Linked DNA regions of Drosophila melanogaster. The protein of the gene in region 1 interacts with the protein of each later gene in a pairwise test. Each region holds a gene or a part of one and is shown in the gene's direction. Other genes may lie near its edges.

Region 1 (6,597 bases):
TGGCGTAAAAATAGATTCGTCGGCGGGCGGCTCAGCGAAATTTCACAAGTGGAACGCCTTTGCCTCGAGGAAGCGCAATTGTGTGGCAGAATCGGGAAAGAACTAGATAATACCCACTATAGCAACTAGCCACTAGTCACTAGAATCATGCAACATCACAGCAAGTTTGCTGTGATGTTTTTGGGGGCGTTTTTGGATGCAATCGCAGTGACCCATTTGGAGCTGTGCTGTAATCATCTTATAGAGTTAAGAGATGATTCCACCAACCATGAGTAACGTGCGAGACTTCTATACAACATAAACGTGCCTGTGTATGTACTTTTTCATATTTACACATATGAAGCGCACTTTATTCTGAGGAGAATAATGAAATTAGCTCATATCAGCGATGTTGTTCAAGGTCGAAACTAAGTAATAAGCTACATACAAGTATGTATCTGTATAAACATTAAAAATTCCCCCGAGCCTTAACTACTCACATGAGGAACCAAAAACGATATTTGAAAATGAGGCACTGCAAATAATATGTATGTAGTTTTTACAGCTTTTCCGCGAAACCTAACTAGTTTGCTTTGGAGTCACGTTGCCGCCAGTTGAAAGCAGTTTCGATTCACAAGTGGACATTCCAGAACCAAGTCACATGCGAAGTTCCCTGGAATGTGCTATTACGAATGAGATGTGATACTATACTGACTGCGAATCCAAGCCAGTGGAAGAGTGGAGTTCCCGATCTCAGGACTCTCACTCCGGCGGAATAGCTAATCACGCCCCTTTGTGCCAGGGGCCACTAATTACCATGTTTCCTGGTAACGTCAATCTGACGCACTTAAGTGCGGAAAATCAATGAACATTAATGACCCGGTCCCTTTATTAATAAATTGTAAGTGGGCCAATTGACTGACGACTGAACGCGACTTTGAAATTCAGGCAATGAAAGGTCTAGGAATAGCAGTACACTGTGCGGAGTTTCGAATACCACTTAGAAAGTGATTTTGAAGTTGGAAAACCGAATGAAATATTCACCATTTAAGCTAGTTTCTATGAATAAATGAGCGCTTGCAGCAACAGATAAAAGTTCATTGACTTTGATTTATTTATGAATGAAATATTCATAATGCATAGGCTTTTTAATTAGAATAATAACATTAAATCGCAGGCAGTAATTTCTTCCGGTGTAGGAACCACCTCTATTCGCAAATGCAAGCACTTTTTTTTTGGGTGTGTCGGGGGGCGGTGGGAGGTGGGCGGTGGCAGGGGGCGTGGAACGAACAGGTATTTTCGGTTTAGTTGTTACGAAATAAGTGGCGAAAATTGACGTGCCGAAAGCGAAGGCAAAAAACCAAAACAAACAAACACGAAAACTCAGGCAAATGCGCCGTACGCTTTGCATTGTTTTTTCGCCCACTTTTTATGGATCGAATTTAACGACAATCTTTGGCCTTTTGTTGCTTTAATTGCCCTAGCTGTCCGCACTCACCTTTGCTGGACTTTTCGCGCAGTGCAGCTGCCTCGAAGGAGCCCAATGCCTGCATTATTTCGCGGTCGCCACTTTCCTTGCGGTCAATCGATTTTTCAGAGCGCCCCGAAAAGTCCAAGTGCAGCAGTGTAACGAATTCGCAGCTTTCGTTCGCTTTTCCGTGCATTTCGGAATTTGCACTAATTGGTAGGATTCCCCGGGGAATCGAATCCGTCACTTTTAATCCTGTTTGCTGTTCTTTTCGCACTCGCTTTTGTTTTTGCAATGCAGGCTCCTGCACTTGCGGTACACACACATACCAGCAGCTGCTACGGCCGCCGCTGCACACACACACACGCACAGCGGGCAAACGGGCATCTCTCTAGCTCTACCCGTCTCGCTTCAACCCACTGCCGCGCGCATTTTCACATTTCCCGCATTTGTTGCTACTTCGCTTGATTTATTCGGCGTTCATCTGGGCGTTCCGTTTTCACTTTCGCCTGGCTGGGGCAACAACAAGCTCGCGATCGAGTATCTCAGCTCGGCCGTCCGCTGCGAACGAGTATCTGAGTAGCTGAGTAACTGAGTATCTGAGCGTGAGTATCTGTATCCGAGTGTCTCGCGGAATCGGAATCAACACAAACAGCTGTTAGGGCTGCGATGGCAAGAATCGATAGCTTAGCGATAGGAAATCGATAGTTTGGGATTTAAAAATTGAACAAACAAAATCGTTTATTAACTTGATTTGGGAAATCAAACAGGTGTAATTCATACATCAGCGCAGTCTCCTGGCCTCGCGTTCAGTTTCCAGCAGCGACAGGATGTCGCCCACGCGAACAGGTCCTTTGACATTCCGAATAATCTGGCGGCTTTGGTCGCCGAGGAACTCCACCCGCACCTGGGTGCACTGCCCTTGGGATCCAGTGCGTCCAAGGATCTCGACCACGCGAGCGTACTGAGGCTTGTCCATGCTGAATACGAAATTCGAGAATTGTTCGACAATAAAAGATTTGAATTTGAAGCTGTGAGTGCTGCTGCCTTTCCAGTCGATGAAAATAGAAAACCTATCTACCCTTCTATCATCCCTGGCGCCACCTGTAGGCCTTGTAGCGCAACATAAGTGCGGACGCGAACCACAAGGTGACCCCAAGTCGAGCTGCCACCTTTCGCAGTGTTGGCAATCCAGTTGGCATCCCCGAGGCGAGCTATCGAACCAGTTCGATTTCGAACCACGCAACTCTAGCATGTAATCGTTCGTCTCGCCGTCTAACATTTGTGTCGAACTACATTTTGTTTTGCCATTCAATAAATCTATTATTTACCACTGAATAAGCGGCGCCACGGAGCCCTAAAAGAGTGTGCGCGTTCCGGAGACTCGGCGCACAGCGGCCCGCAGCGATACGTCCATGAAAATCGAACGGCAACAGCAGCAGCACCCACAACCAGCGGAGGCAACAGCAACAAAATACACAAAATAAAGAAGCAGCAGACGGAAAAGTGCACAAATGGTGCAGAACTGAGTGGAAAGGCCACCGAGCACAGATTTCTCACAGTGCAGGAGCCCGGAGACGCCGAAATGCTCTAGAGGGCGGCGCTTCAGCACGATTTTCTCCCCGCGGAGAGCCCAAAGTTGCCAGCGGACGAGGATGACTGCTCCTGGCGAAGCATTAAGTTAAGAGACATACAGCCATTGTTTACAGCAGGCAGCTCAGACACCGGGATAGGATAGGATAGGATATGCCCTCGGGCCAGCCCACTTGAGTTGAGGAGAGCAGAGGAGAGGATCGGGATCCGTGCGCGAGGAGAGGATCTGCAGCCTTGTTTAGCATTTAGTCCGGTCATCGTGCCAGCGCCTTGTTAACCACACTCTCTTGTTTACGTTTGCTTGTTTGTTGAACTCCACAAATCGTCCTTCCATTAATTGTTAGTCACGCGTCCCTCTCGTTGAGCACACTAATCAAAATGAAAGCATCCTCGTCGATATCGAAATTGAAGTTGAAATTGAAATCGAAATTGAAAGCTAAGTTGCAATTGAAATCGAAGCGTCCAGCCGTTAAAGCTACAATCAAATTACACCCGTCCAAACCCACCTCGTCATCGCCATTGCCATCGTCACCGCCATCGAAGATTGGAGCCAGGGCCGTCAGGACTGCGCCAGGATCAGTCGTCTGCCATCCCAATTGAGTGAAGCCGAGGATACACGAATCTAAGGGTGAGTACTGCTCTTGGAATTCCCATGCACAATCCATAACTAATGCTATTACTTTCTTACGCAGTTTGTGGATTATTGGATTTGCACAACTTACTTAAGGACTAATATTAATACTTTAAGAAAGGCACAACATAAGTCTGATTAATGATCTAGTTGTATCAAGGGAAATGATTGGAATTAGACAATTTATTCACGTCTAACTAATATCTCAAATATTAATAGTAATTTGAATGATCCTTTGTAAGAAATGTGAGCATATATTTTGCAATAATAGTAACTTTATGAAATGTATATTTCATTAAATCGAAGGATGATACCTGATCATTGAAAAAGTCATTTAGAACGCCATGCAAATTCTAATCATCCAACTAAAATATTGCTCAATTAATTAGTTTGCAGCACATTTAATTTATTTCTGAGGTGTATGTGCCAATGGGATCCCATAGAAACTGTATATATCTTTTAACTTCATTAACAAATCAATTAATTAACAAAACAGTAAAACATAATTATATTATCATCCTGCATTCATATCCATAATATACAATGTTACCTATTTAACAATTTACACATCCTCTTCTTTCAGGTACTGAATGTACTGCATCAACTGTAATATAAGCTACGTAAATAGGAATTTATGCGAATAAGAGTAATTAAGTGAAGCGTGTAGTTAAACATTTCTACAAACCGGACATAAAAAGATTCAACCATCTTAAAGGACTTGCAGCGCTATGGATTGATATGTTCTCAAGCGTTGGCCATTTCTCACTTGAGTTTAATCGGTTAGTGTTCTATCACCCTTTATATTCAAAGCATTCTTTAGATTTATTTAGGCGTTTATTGGATGCACCCGTGCGCGAAATATTTTCTCCCCCACAAATCCAATATGTATGGCTTATTGAAAAAAAGGAGGCACTTGGGTGGTTGCTACTGATTGATTTAAAGTTCGCTGTGTTGAAAACTAATTCGATTTGGGCTCTGAAATGTAAATTTATTTAAGCTGAGCCAAAAATAATATTTATACAATTTTATCTCTATTAAAATACCTTCCAATTTTATCTTTGATGCAATATTTATGACTGGCATATAAAAAAGTTTTTTTGTTTAATTTATTTATGGTATTTGTATTATGTTTTGGTTTGAATGATTATTTATGAGATGCACGAGACTAAAGATTTTTCTTAAAATTATTTTCATTGTTTTGGACTTACTTTCTTGGCGAACAAAAATATACCCAATGGCCAAATCTCTTTTCTCCCAATTGATAATTGATAATATCCTTATGTATAAAGCTTGCCTATTATATATACATATTTTATATACATTTATTTATATATATGTATATTTAAAACAGAGTAAAAGTGTTCATAATTTTTTTAACTATCCCATAATGCTTGGTAAGGCTAGAAACATTAGTCTTCAGATAAAACTTTAACTTTAACATATAACATAAATTTATACCAAATGGATAACAATGGCTCTAATCTTTTTTTTTTCCAAACTCTTAACTATATGTTTACAACCTTAGTCTTTCGAACAAATATTTTAGTATTATATATTGTCTTAGCTTATTTCAAAATGATTTCAATTGATCTAATCTTTTCTTCATTTCACTATTCTTTCAGGAACAACTGGAACCATTCGGAATACCAATATCTTCCCCTGATTTCATGTTGAATTTTTTATGCAAATTACATATGTGAGTATACAACTTATTTTTACTTTGTCAATGGTTTTGAAGTTTAAGACAACTACGATTGCATGCGAGAATCTCAGAAATATAAACTAGTATGAAAAACTGATTTACATTGATATACTTAGGTCCTTTTCCATTTCTCGAAACCTAATAATCATGACATCCTGAAGGGTTTTAATAAATCCTTTTTAATTGGTTATTATTCGGAAACTACCTTTTCACTCAATTGAAAAATCCTCTTAGTGCAATAAGGATACCATGATTTCACTATTGTTTATTGGGCTGCAGCACTCTGATTAAGGAATTGAATAAGTTTCCGTTGTCTCGGAGAGGAGCAACAGTTGACCGCGCCCAAGTGCATCCTTCGGGTCCTTCGGTGTCCTTGTAATGGGCGTTGCACCTGAAAAGTAGGCGCTTCCGCGCTGAACTTTTCCGCCTGTGCTGGCAACTTTTGCCGCGCACAAAGTGCCACTATTGACCTTCGGCAATACTCGCAGCCGCAGTGAGTAGTGCCCGTGTTTCCCCCAGTTTGCCGGGCCAGACCATGCCGGCGTGGAGTCTAGACCGCCATCAGACGCCGTTCATCGGGCGGTTGGTTGAGCAATGGCGGTCTTAACCTCATTAGAAACAAACGAGGCTGCCGCCGGTCGCTCCTCCCTTCGTATTGTTTTCAAACTTATTCGAAAATAATTTCCACATTTGTGTTTAGGGGAGGAATCGGACTCCGGAGGTGGGTCTTCCATCTCAACCCTTGCCCCACCCCTCGGCTTTCAGGAAGGACTACAATGCGAACCCAACTCCGCTGCTCTGTTTATGTACAATAAGAACGGGCGGGCGTCTGGTCCTTCCTTTGCCTTGCCACTCTGGCAGTGGGCCAGGATTTGGTCTGGGCTTGGGCAGCAGGGCATAGAATGGGGGGACCAGGGTCTGGGGACTCAATCTGGACCTGCGCATATTGGTTGCACACAATGACTCCTATTCGCCTGCTGCCGTCTCGCTTGCTCCGCCGCAACCACGGACACTCTGAAAAGAACATCCTTTGTGTGCTGTTGTACAATGTACATGGAGCATCATCATGTTGGAGGTCGTCCCAGCACCGCCACTCGCACTCCTGCTCCTCCGCAGGGCAGTCCATCAACAGCTGGTCGGGATATTCAAGGGGCAGTAGTCCTCCACTAAGAAAAAATCCTCGAAATGGTTGTATTCGTTCTTAAAACACAAACATGTATAGTG
Region 2 (5,564 bases), on another chromosome or scaffold:
TGGACGTGGGCAAGAGCACTCTGTGCCGCATCCTGCTTAACTATGCTGTGCGCGTGGGTCGTCGACCGCTGTACGCCGACCTGGATGTTGGACAGGGCTCGATTGCCATTTCCGGGAGTGTGGCCACCATTCTCATCGAGCGACCGGCGAACGTTGAGGAGGGATTCGCCAAGACAGCGCCGCTGGTCTATCACTTTGGCCATAAGTCTCCCAGCGGAAACAGCGTGCTGTACAATGCCGTGGTTTCCAAAATGGCAGAGGTAACACTGCAATCTCTGAATAGCAACAAGCGAAGTAAGTTGGGAAGGTGTAACACATATCTTTGCACTTTTCAATACATTTTCCCGTTCATAAACTGCAAATTTCTGCATCTGCTTTTTGCAGCAAAAAGCTCTGGCATTATTATAAACACTTGTGGCTGGGTAAAGGGATCCGGCTACGCGCACCTGTTGCACGCGGCCAAAGCCTATGGAGCCTGTGCCATCTTTGTTCTGGACCAGGAGCGACTATACAACGAGCTGCTTCGAGATGTTCCCAAGGGAGTTCATGTGGTACTGCTGCCCAAGAGCGGCGGCGTCGTCGAGCGCAGCAAGGAACTGCGACACGAGGCGAGGGATCAGCGCATCAAGGAGTACTTCTACGGCAATACAAGGGCGCCCTTCTATCCGTTCAGCTTCGAGGTGAAGTTCCAGGACCTGCGACTCTACAAGATCGGCGCACCGCCGCTGCCCGACTCCTGCATGCCAATTGGAATGAAGGCGGAGGACAACAAGACCAAGGTGGTGGCGGTTACACCCACGCCCGCCCTAATCCATCATGTGCTGGCCCTCAGCTTTGCCGAGTCCGTGGAGGACGATGTGATTGGCACCAATGTGGCCGGCTTTTGTTGCGTGTAAGTGCTGCTGAACCTAAACTAGATATTATACTAGTTATATATGATTGTTATTTGATTATCCTCAGAACCGAAGTGGATATGGAAAGACAGGCAGTGATGTTGCTTTCGCCGCAGCCGCGACCTTTGCCCCCGAACGCCCTGCTCCTGTGGTCGGAACTGCAGTTCATGGATAATCATACCTAGCATTTGTAAATGCTCTGCTCTAGATGTAATTTAAGAAATTTTATATTAATGTTGGCGTTACAAAAAATACAGTTTAGATGTGCAAGTAGTAAACTTAAAGTTTTCCACAAGTTTAACAACTGAAATAACATTTAATAACATTTTGCAAAAATTAATTAAGTTTTGCTATAAAAGAATAGAACATATATCAAACAAATATTGTAATTTCTGAAAATTGAAAACTATTATAATTAATTATAACTATACAAGAATATAATATTCAGTATATGTATTGTATGTGTATGTATGTATTATTATGTGTTTCTTATAACCACTGAAAAAGGGTTTTGTAAAAATTGCATTTGAATATATTTGCAATGTGCATTTTTCGCCATTTGGTAAAATTATGTAATTCTATTCGAAAATAATTCAAACAAAATGGTGTTCTAAATTTTTTTAGCAAGGTGTGCAACCAAACGTCTACTCTACTTCCAGTATATTTTTGGTATATTTAGAACACTCAATTGGTAATATTTAGGCAAATTAGGTGCAGCCATACTGACGGCTGCGTACGTCGCCTCAGTGCGGTCACACTGTTCGAAAGAGCGAGACGAAAAACACGGCAACACGGCGGACGGAAAACTCAGTGAAAAGTAAATCAAATATTTACAAAACAAAGTAACCACAAAATGGCTGCGCTCGGTCGAATTGCGTTGGTTTAACAACAAATAGCGATGAAACGGCGACGATTAATACACTTTCAACGGGCATAAACCATAGATACTGTGGAATTTGTCGTGCTTTTCGTGTTTGTTGTGCAGCATGCGAGATGTTGCTGATGTTGTTGTTGGAATGTGTATCAAATGGTTCTAAAAACAAAACAAGAGATTTTCGGGCATCTAAATTTACGGCCTGCTTGAAAGACGTTCTGTTTTCCCCCAGTGTGTGTGTGCGTCTGTGCATGTGTGCGCGTGTGTTTGTGTGTTTTCTTCTCACTTGCTCTCTGTTGCTGCTGCATTTTCCAGCGGCAAACGGCGTTTGTTTTGGTTGCGTCGTGAAATTTTCCACTGGAAAGTGCAGCGCTGCGCCTTTCTGGGGGTTGCACACACACGCGCACGCACCGCAATTCGTCGATTGCCGGCTTGTTGCGCCGTAGAAGCGGCGGCAAAAGAGGTTCCCTAATTACCCAGAGTCACCTTATCACTTACAGTATTTCAATTTGGCGACCAGTTGATCGGAGGGGGTGATGGCGGTGTGGTGGCCCTCACACAGTTGCACAATTGCTTATCACTCGCTACTTAACGACAACAACAATTGGTGGCTCGCACACATGCAAACAAGACGATCACACTCGTCAACAAAGAAGCGGGAAACTCAATTGAAAGACTGAAATAACAACAACATAAGCAACAGCTAGCTTACACTACGCAACAAAAGTGCGAGCACGAGGAACTAAAAGTTATTAACTCACTAGTGATCAAAACTGAAATAAATTTGAATTGTATTGTAGTCATAACAGTTGAACCAATATTAATCTATTAAAAAAGATACGTAGAAAGTAAAACAAAAATCCTAAAACCTATTTACTAACAGGCATAACTCTGCAAATACTGTTGTAACTACAAACGAGAGTTCAAAACAAGGGTGTTATTTGATACCCTAGGGAGTGAAAGATTTTCGAGAGCGACCTGTTTTCAAACCTCCCTCTCCCTTCCACTTGCAGTTTTTCCGTGTGATTACCATGTGCGCCTAACAAAAGACAAACACGATCGGGTCGCGTCATCTGTTGTTTTTGCGCCAAATGTCTTAAAATTCCGGAGATAGTGCTTCCAAAATAAGATGGCTCTCGAGCCATACACAAAGTCTGCTGAAATCGAACCTCAATTGTGCCAAGTTATAGATAATAATGAAGATGTGACAACGAAAGCGACGAAATGCACGAAATCTAACAGCGGAGTGGGCTGGCGACAAATGCTGATCGGCTTTCTACTGATTTGCTTTGGCATCTCAAACAGTTGGCAGTACAAAAATGGTAAGTTCTGTGCTTTCATTTCGAACAAAGGGCAACGGTTTTGCCAAAGGAGCTGGGAACTGACAAGCATTTGATGGCAGTTCGATTAATTTGACGAGTGGCGAGGGCTTTGAGTTCAAAAAACCGCAGGGATAGACAGTTTGTAATGGGAATGGGGGTTCGCTGATATCGTTCCTCTACTTTCCTCAAAGGCTTTTGTACTACAGGTATCGCTCGCTAATGTGAACCAACGTAGTTGCGTGATTCCCAAGTGATTGAATTATAAATTGAGAGTGTTTAGTCTCAAATCAATATTTGATATTTATATTTATTGGTCAATATTCATTTTAAATAGTTAATTTAGCAAAATTTCAATATGTACATCAAAAATTACTATTCAGATAGAATATTTACTTAATAGTATAGTTCCTTATTTCAATGATTCACTGAATTTAAAAGCTTAAAATCCCATAGATAAAATATGAGTAACTGAACTGCATTTCAGGCATGTTGCCTGTTCGAGTGCCCACTGTATGCGTTTGTTTATGTGGTTTCAACTGCACTTTTGAGCTTCCCGCTCCCCGCCCCTCGCCCAGCCTTTTAGCCCCTTCCTTTGCCGCTTTGCGTTTTCCTTTAAGCTCTTTTTCGTGTTGTCAAAGCCCAAAGGCTGACAATTTCTCGGCGCAATGCTTTTATGAATAAACAACTACTACTTATTTAGACTGTAGTACGCACTCAACTTGATTGCACTGCGCATAATTTAGTACCCCCTTCTTCATCTACTTCTACTCCTACGACTACTACAACTCTGCGGCCCCACCAAACACTTTTCCACTAGATGCGACGCTAATGAGCTGAAAAAAGCAGCTCACTAATAATTCAGCAGTTGTAATATGGCAAAGTTGCCCGGTAATTGCCGGCATATTTCAAAATGCACAAAGCATTGACCCAGGCTCAAAAATTATACACTCAGAAAAATGTTCAGTTCTCATCAATTAAATCTTGTATAACTTGTACATTATTTAAAATCTAATGGTAAATCGATAGATCCACTCTATATGAACTGTTCTGTTGGGAATCATATGTAAAGTTAAGATATGAAGTCTGTAAGAGGAACTTACAAATTTCGTGGGCTGAAACAGTTCTTCTATAGATTAATATTGCATGACTCCTTGAAAGTTTTTCTCAGTGCAGCTTCAAAAAAGGGGCTCAAAGGACTGAAGTAGAAGGGACCTGCACGGGACAAGTCAATATGGAAATAGCAAATGGACAAAGGCCGTCCAAACATCGTTAAGCCCCAAAAACGCTCGAGTGTTTGGCTGAAAGATAAGCCTTCGGATTCTTCGTTTTTTTATTTTTTTTTTCCGGCTCTCTCCTTCAGTTGCAATCCGAAGTTTTTTCGGAGTCCGGAATTGCGAGTACTCCAGCATGCATGGGGGCATCCACAAAGCAAGTGCCGCCGCACCGAAAAGGAAGCCCGAAAACTTAAATTTGTCGAGCCGGGTGGGAGGAAAAAAAGCGCATCAAATATGTACACAAAGCTCCGGAAAAAAAACCCCATCTTCCATCATTCCCGGCCAGCTCTCTGTCGTGTGTGGGTGGTGTGTGGGCGGCTGGTTGGATGCTTACTTTCTTTAACACTTTGACGCGCGCACAAAGTGTTTTTTGCCAGCGTTGATTTGCCGCCCATGCCACCCATGCCATCCATGCCACCCATGCCACCACTTCCACACTACCCACCGGCCACCCAGTTCTTCTTTAAACCTTGTTCTTTTTTGCAGCTAACTGACGTTTTTGCGCGCTGCTGTCATGCCGTGTGGGGGATTCCCCCTTTTTTTTGGTCCCTTTACGTAAGCGCTATTTGCTTTAGCTTCTATTTACTACGCCGTAGTAACGCCAGTTTAGTAGTAATGGGAGCACTTCAAAGGCGACGGCGCCTTTGACGCCACATCCACCGCCCACTGACGGCATCCTGCCAGCCAGTCATCCTGCCATCCTGGCTGACATCCTTTGCGTCCCCGCGGGACACTCGACATTTCACTGTTGTTGACATTGATTTTGATTTCATTTATGTGTGCACCATTTCCACTTTCAACTTTCCAACAGCCAGCTTGACATTGGCTTAGGAATGTCAGTCAACACTTGATACACTTTGTCTTTCCTCGCGGGATTTGCCTAGGAAGCATTAGTCGCTAGTATTTCCCAATTATCCAATTAAAAATGCCCAACTCAATTAGTCATGCGTGAATTTCAGTTTATTCGTTGCAATTAAAATCTTAATTTGATGTTTAGCATACTATCAGAATGTTAACTATTGCATGAACTAGTTTAATTATATAAATGAAAGTGATTTTCATAAGTAAGCTGCCAAAAGAAAACAGTCTAAATAGCCTTTAGCAAAGAATCATTTCAAATTTACTGTCTGTAGAAAATAAGATTTTGGACAAAGATTAATGCAATTATTTTAATTGGGTTTCTATAATCTGTTTAAAGCTT
Region 3 (5,456 bases), on another chromosome or scaffold:
AATGCAAAATTTATCAGCGATAGCCCAGAAAAGATAACTAAAATGTGTGCTGTTCTACAGCAAATTGGGCGAGGCGTAGAAATCAATTTCAAATTTGTTGATATTACGGGGCAAGAAAACTGAAAATAGAAGCCGCTACAATGGATCCACAGATATAGATAGCGGCTACTTGGATGTTCGTCGTACGTCAGTGATTCAGGCAACTTGGTGGGGCCCAAACGAAATCCAAACGGAAACCGAAACCAATTGAGAATACACATTAAGTGAGTGGGTTTCTGAGGAGGGGAAAGCGATCGTTTAGTATTCCCTAATTGGTATACCCGTGTCTGTCACACTGTGCAGAAATTGCATAATGCCCGGGCCAAAACCACCACATCACGTGTCTGGTTCGTCTGGCACCTGACAGACCCGCGAAGATACTTCAGTTCGGATTGGTTCTGGTCGGAGGAAGTTAATGGAGATGATGGGGCTGTGGGCCAGACAGAACAAGAGAAATTGAAAGCCATTAAGTACCTTTAAAAATAAAAGCGGAATACTACTAACCGCATGGCCCACTGGGATGATACATGGGAGAGCTATACATACATATATGCGCGTGGATATATGTTGCTTCAATTATTCAAGAGTACACCGAAAACAGAGACTTGTGACCACAAAAAGCAAAGAAATTACGCACGAAAAATATCTTTAAAATGCCATAAGTTGTATATAGATACACAGCCAGCGCAGACTCATCAGATACACAAGCACACACATCGGCCAGAAGATACATATAAGCAAACTCGAACTGTGGCAAACTATTTCCGTATTGAGTTCTCTTCTTAATGCCCTGCATTGAGCCATTTTGGGTATATTGCACGAAAGTTTTTTAGATCAACCACTTAAAAAATTAAACAATTTAAGTGGTTGGAAAACGGTTTATCTGATTTCATTTGACCTCTAAATTCTTTATTTTCTCTTAATGTCTTACATCTTTCATTCCTGAGCATTTATCAACCGAAATTCAAGACAAAAATGTGTTTGTGACATTTAAAAAAATTTATTTTCGAAAGCATATATTCGTTAGCTTAAATTCCACAAACAAATTATGTACGTGTTCCAAAAACATTTTCTAATATTTATGAATGTGCCGAATATATTTTCGAGCCGTGCGTTTCTTTTCTGCTCATCTCGGATTTTATGAGTTTGTTTGGCTTGTGAAAATTGCATTGACCTAGAAGTCATATTGTTGTTTTTTTTTTCGGTCTCTTTGGTATTTTGATGTCTTTGGAATACCCTGCATTCTGATTCTGATTCTGTTTTGGTTTTGCACATTTCTCTCCCGCTCTCCCGTACGACTTTCTGTTTTCTACGTACATGTATGTATTGTGAACATGAGCATCGTTATGAATTCCCCGATTTTCCTTTTTGTGTGTATATTTTCAAATACTTGCCACTGTGCATCCGAATCGGGCTGTCTGTAAAAATGTGTGTGAGTGGGAGACTGGGGAGCTAGCTCCCGGCTGAGATCGTGGAAAGCCCACGGCCCATTCCTTGTCCGTCGGTCGCCAGCGCCACGAGGAACGGGAAGCGCGATCTTAAAAAATATTTAAAAAACTTTTCACCCCGTGTCCCCGTTGCTCAAATCGAACATACCCCCAAAACGAGAGCGAAAGTTTAGTATTCAAAACGCAATTTAATTTGGCGAAAAAATATCGAGGCAATCGGAGACAAAGGCGCGATCTCGGCGGCGAAAAATAAACCTAAAAACATAACGATTTCGGACGCGTGCCAGGCGGTGGGCGGTGGGCGGGGCGGCGTAGACGCCGGCAGCGGCAGCGACGTCGCTGTTTTATTTTTTTATTTTCTTTTTTTTTTCGATTTTGCCGGCTGTCGTCGCGAGCAGAATGCCGCCGGCTCTCGGTTCTGGTTCTCAGTTCAGTTCTGTTTGAGTTTCTGGCGACGAGTGACACACACAGAGGGAACTAGAAATAAACGACACCGAAAAACGAAACAACACTTAGTTGTACTGTAGATTCTGGCTGATTAAGAAACACGAAACACGAAGTACTCACTTACACACAAAAACACATATATATCTCACACACAAGGAAAACTGCATTAGTTCAGATCGAGCGAAAGTGCCGTAGACGATGCCCAATAACCGCAATCGTAATCGCAATCGCAATCGCAACAAACGCAATCGAAACCAAAATCAAAATCAGAATCCGAGCCAAAACCAAAACGAAAACCATCAGCAGCAGGCAGAAGGGGCGGAGGATCGGGAGGAGCAGCAGGATTTCCAAACTCAGATCGCAGTAGCGCAATCTTCTTCCTTCGTAGATGATAATGGAAATTCTGGCAGCGTTTCAAATGGGCCAACGGAAAACAGCGAAGAGGTGACGAACACTCTTGAGAAAACCGAAAAAAAAGAAGAAATATTCGAGCAACCAGCAACAGTCATCCAAAAAGAAGCAGATTCAGACGCAGAAATGGGTGCCAAAAACTCAAAACATCGCAAGGAAAAGTCCGATAAGCAGGCGTCTAATGGAAAATCTGAAGAGCAGGTGCGTCCACCTCCCACCATTATAAGAAGGCCACCCGGTAGCCCCCGGCAAGCCAAGGTCATAGTTCATCGAATTGTGAGGGAAGAGGACACGGCCAATGGCAAAGCTCAATCTCCAGAGCCACCCAAAGCCGTGGAATCTAAGGAGCAGCACATGGAGGTCGAGGATTCAAAGAAGGAGAAACCTGAAGCTCAGCAGGAGATTGAAACTAAGGAAGAACGGGAAAATGAACCGAGTCCAAAGGAACTTCCTGAATCTAGTCATCTTTCGGAGGACGCACAGCAGAAACATGTCGAAGTTGAAGAGAATCAACAAGTTTATGATGAAGTGGACTACTCAAAGGATGAGACCACTGACAATAATCCACAGCAAGAGCAACACGATTCAAAGGAACCGGAGCAATATGTGTTGCAACTCGAAAAGGCAATGGAATTTGTGGAAAATGCACATCAGCAACACGTTGCTGCCGTGCAAAGTTATCAAAAACAGAGAGACACTGAGCAAAATGCACAGCAGCAGGAGCAAAATGAAGCACAGCACCTACAGGAATCAACTAAAGCGCATCAGCAAAATATTGCAGTTCCACAAATCCTTGTAGATCCGAAGAAGAGAGAAGAGGGCCTCGCACAGCAACTGCATCATGATGTGAAAGAGGAACCCATTTTGAATAACGCCCAACAGCAAAATGATGACACTGCACCGAAATCCCCAAAGGAAGTAACAATAAAAGTTCAGTTTCAAACAGAAGATCCTTATTCCCAGCAGCCTCCTCCACAGAAGCCCACCTCCAAGGTGATTATCCACCAGATACACGTGGAAACCACCGACGAAGAGCAAAATGCCAAGCCCACTTTCGAGGAGGTTAGCAGCACTACCGGTTCTCTGGCCGGAACCCTATCTCCACCACCTCGTTATTTGGTGGAGTCGCCGAAGAACGTGTCAAGTGGCCAGTTTTCGAACTTCTCGCGCAATGTGCAAATCCAGGAAATGGAACTGAACAGCGACTTCAGCTCCGGGGAATTCAATTCCCTGCAGTCGCCGCTGGTATGCGAAGTAGACTCGGAATCAGAGGGATCGGTAGTCTTGGGACCGGAGCGATCGCCGTCGGATCAGCAGGTGCCGTCCAGCAGCCGAGTAGAGCAGCATGAGCAGGTGCGCCAGAAACGTGCCCAGTATCGGAACGCTTTGGAATCGCACTTCATGCCGCAGTTGCTCAATCCCCGCTATCTGGACAGCATCCTGGAGGAGAATGAATGGAGAAACTCCACCGCCTCCTCTGGCGGAAGCGATCAGACGGGGATCCGCACTCCCAAGCTAAACGAGACCTTTCCCAGGAGTCAGTTGGACTTTAGTCGCAGACACAAGCGTAGGGAGGAGGCACCGTCGCCTCTTAAGCTCGAAACCAAGCTGCTGGAGGAGTCAACCGATCTGGAGAGCTGCACCCGACTGCAGAGCGCCCTGTCTCCACAGTCTGAAGATGCGGAGCTAGTTTACCTAAGCTCCTCGGCCTCCAGCAGCGTCTCTGACCTCATGGAACTAGAACTAGAGCAGGCTGCCGCCTTGGCGGAGAGAGCCCTCGTAGACTTGGATACGGATGCCAGTCGGTTGATTGCTCGGCCGGATGATGAGATGAGCAGCACTAGTACCACTACTGCAGACAGGAGCGAGACGGAAGCGGAAACGGAAACGGAGACGGAGAGAGAGGGCGAGCAGAGTCGCGAGAGCACACCTGTTAACGCCAACCCGACGCTCGCCAGTTCGCAGTCTTCGCTGCTGAGCGCCGCAACGCCGACGCCGACGCCGACGCCCACTCCCGCCGATCGAGAACAATTAGCAAAAGATACAAATGTATCTGGTGGATCGACTGTTAGTTTCGGGGCAGCATCGCCGCTAGCGGCCACGCGCGAGGAGTTCGTTCGCAATATGGACAAAGTGCGCGAGTTGATCGAGATGACGCGGCGCGAACAGGAGCAAGGTGAACTACCGCGATCGCCGTCGCCGCCGCCCGTTCCCCCACCTCCCGCTTCCGTGCCACCCTACAGTCCCGAGTCTTCCTCGTTCCACCTAGCTTCCTTGCAGCTGAAGCGGCAGGAGTCGAACGACTCCCACTGCTCTGACAGCACCACCCACAGCCAATGCACGGCCATCAACCTGGCCAGTCCCCCACCGCCACCCACTGCTCAGCCACCTACACCGCCACTCAGACAAAAGCCTGCACCACCACCCGTACCGCAACCCGTATCACCACCCGCACCACCCACTCCCCAATCAGAGCCAGAGCTTTCAGTTGCAGATTCGGTTGCGAATGCAAATGCGGATGTAGATGCAGATGCCGACACTGATACGGAAGCAATAAAGAAGCTGCGCCTGCTGTGCACCGAGCAGTTGGCTTCCATGCCCTATGGCGAACAGGTGCTCGAGGAGTTAGCCAGTGTGGCCCAGAATATAAGCGACCAATCCCAGAACAAGATGCCCTATCCCATGCCCCAATTGCCGCACATCAAGGAGCTGCAGTTAAACGCCAATGAGAGCAAGTCCTCCTCCGCCTGGCTGGGTCTGCCGACCCAGTCCGATCCCAAGCTATTGGTCTGCCTGTCGCCCGGACAGAGAGATTTGGTAAATAACCAAACCCAACCGGATGACCTGCTCGATGCTCACCAGAAGTTCGTGGAGCGTCGGGGATACCATGAGTTGTCCAAGGCCCAGGTTCTCGAGCAAGACCACCAGCAGCAGCAGAGTGAGATGCTCAAGACGGCGGCCATGATGCGCGAGTTGCGCAAGAGCCTCTCGCCCCCAGCGCCTCCTGTCCCTCCGCCGCCGGTACCGGTGAAGAGCGCCGAAACGGCGGCCAAGGCGACCGCTCACGAAAACGCCAAGAGAGATGACGCAAGCGAACAAAAGCAGAAGATC

Evidence for each region. Proteins that work in one complex are often made in the same cells at the same time.
Region 2: the proteins of Axn (region 1) and arr interact in a two-hybrid assay, tested with the Drosophila melanogaster proteins (one study listed by BioGRID).
Region 3: the proteins of Axn (region 1) and CAP interact in a two-hybrid assay, tested with the Drosophila melanogaster proteins (2 studies listed by BioGRID).

Annotation. Positions count from the first base shown.
Region 1 is NT_033777.3:30,020,173-30,026,769, forward strand, and holds the start of Axn (axin), read left to right. Parts: upstream 1-2,669; 5' UTR 2,670-3,668; intron 3,669-4,254; 5' UTR 4,255-4,450; intron 4,451-5,293; 5' UTR 5,294-5,367; intron 5,368-6,045; exon of another isoform or gene 6,046-6,597. Other genes in the region: RpS28a (ribosomal protein S28a), read right to left, coding at 2,232-2,426.
Region 2 is NT_033778.4:13,479,301-13,484,864, reverse strand, and holds the start of arr (arrow), read left to right. Parts: upstream 1-1,635; 5' UTR 1,636-1,710; intron 1,711-2,780; 5' UTR 2,781-2,896; coding exon 2,897-3,089; intron 3,090-5,564. Other genes in the region: cbc (crowded by cid), read left to right, coding at 1-294, 385-892, 961-1,078.
Region 3 is NT_033778.4:10,277,209-10,282,664, forward strand, and holds the start of CAP (CAP), read left to right. Parts: upstream 1-1,527; 5' UTR 1,528-2,132; coding exon 2,133-5,456.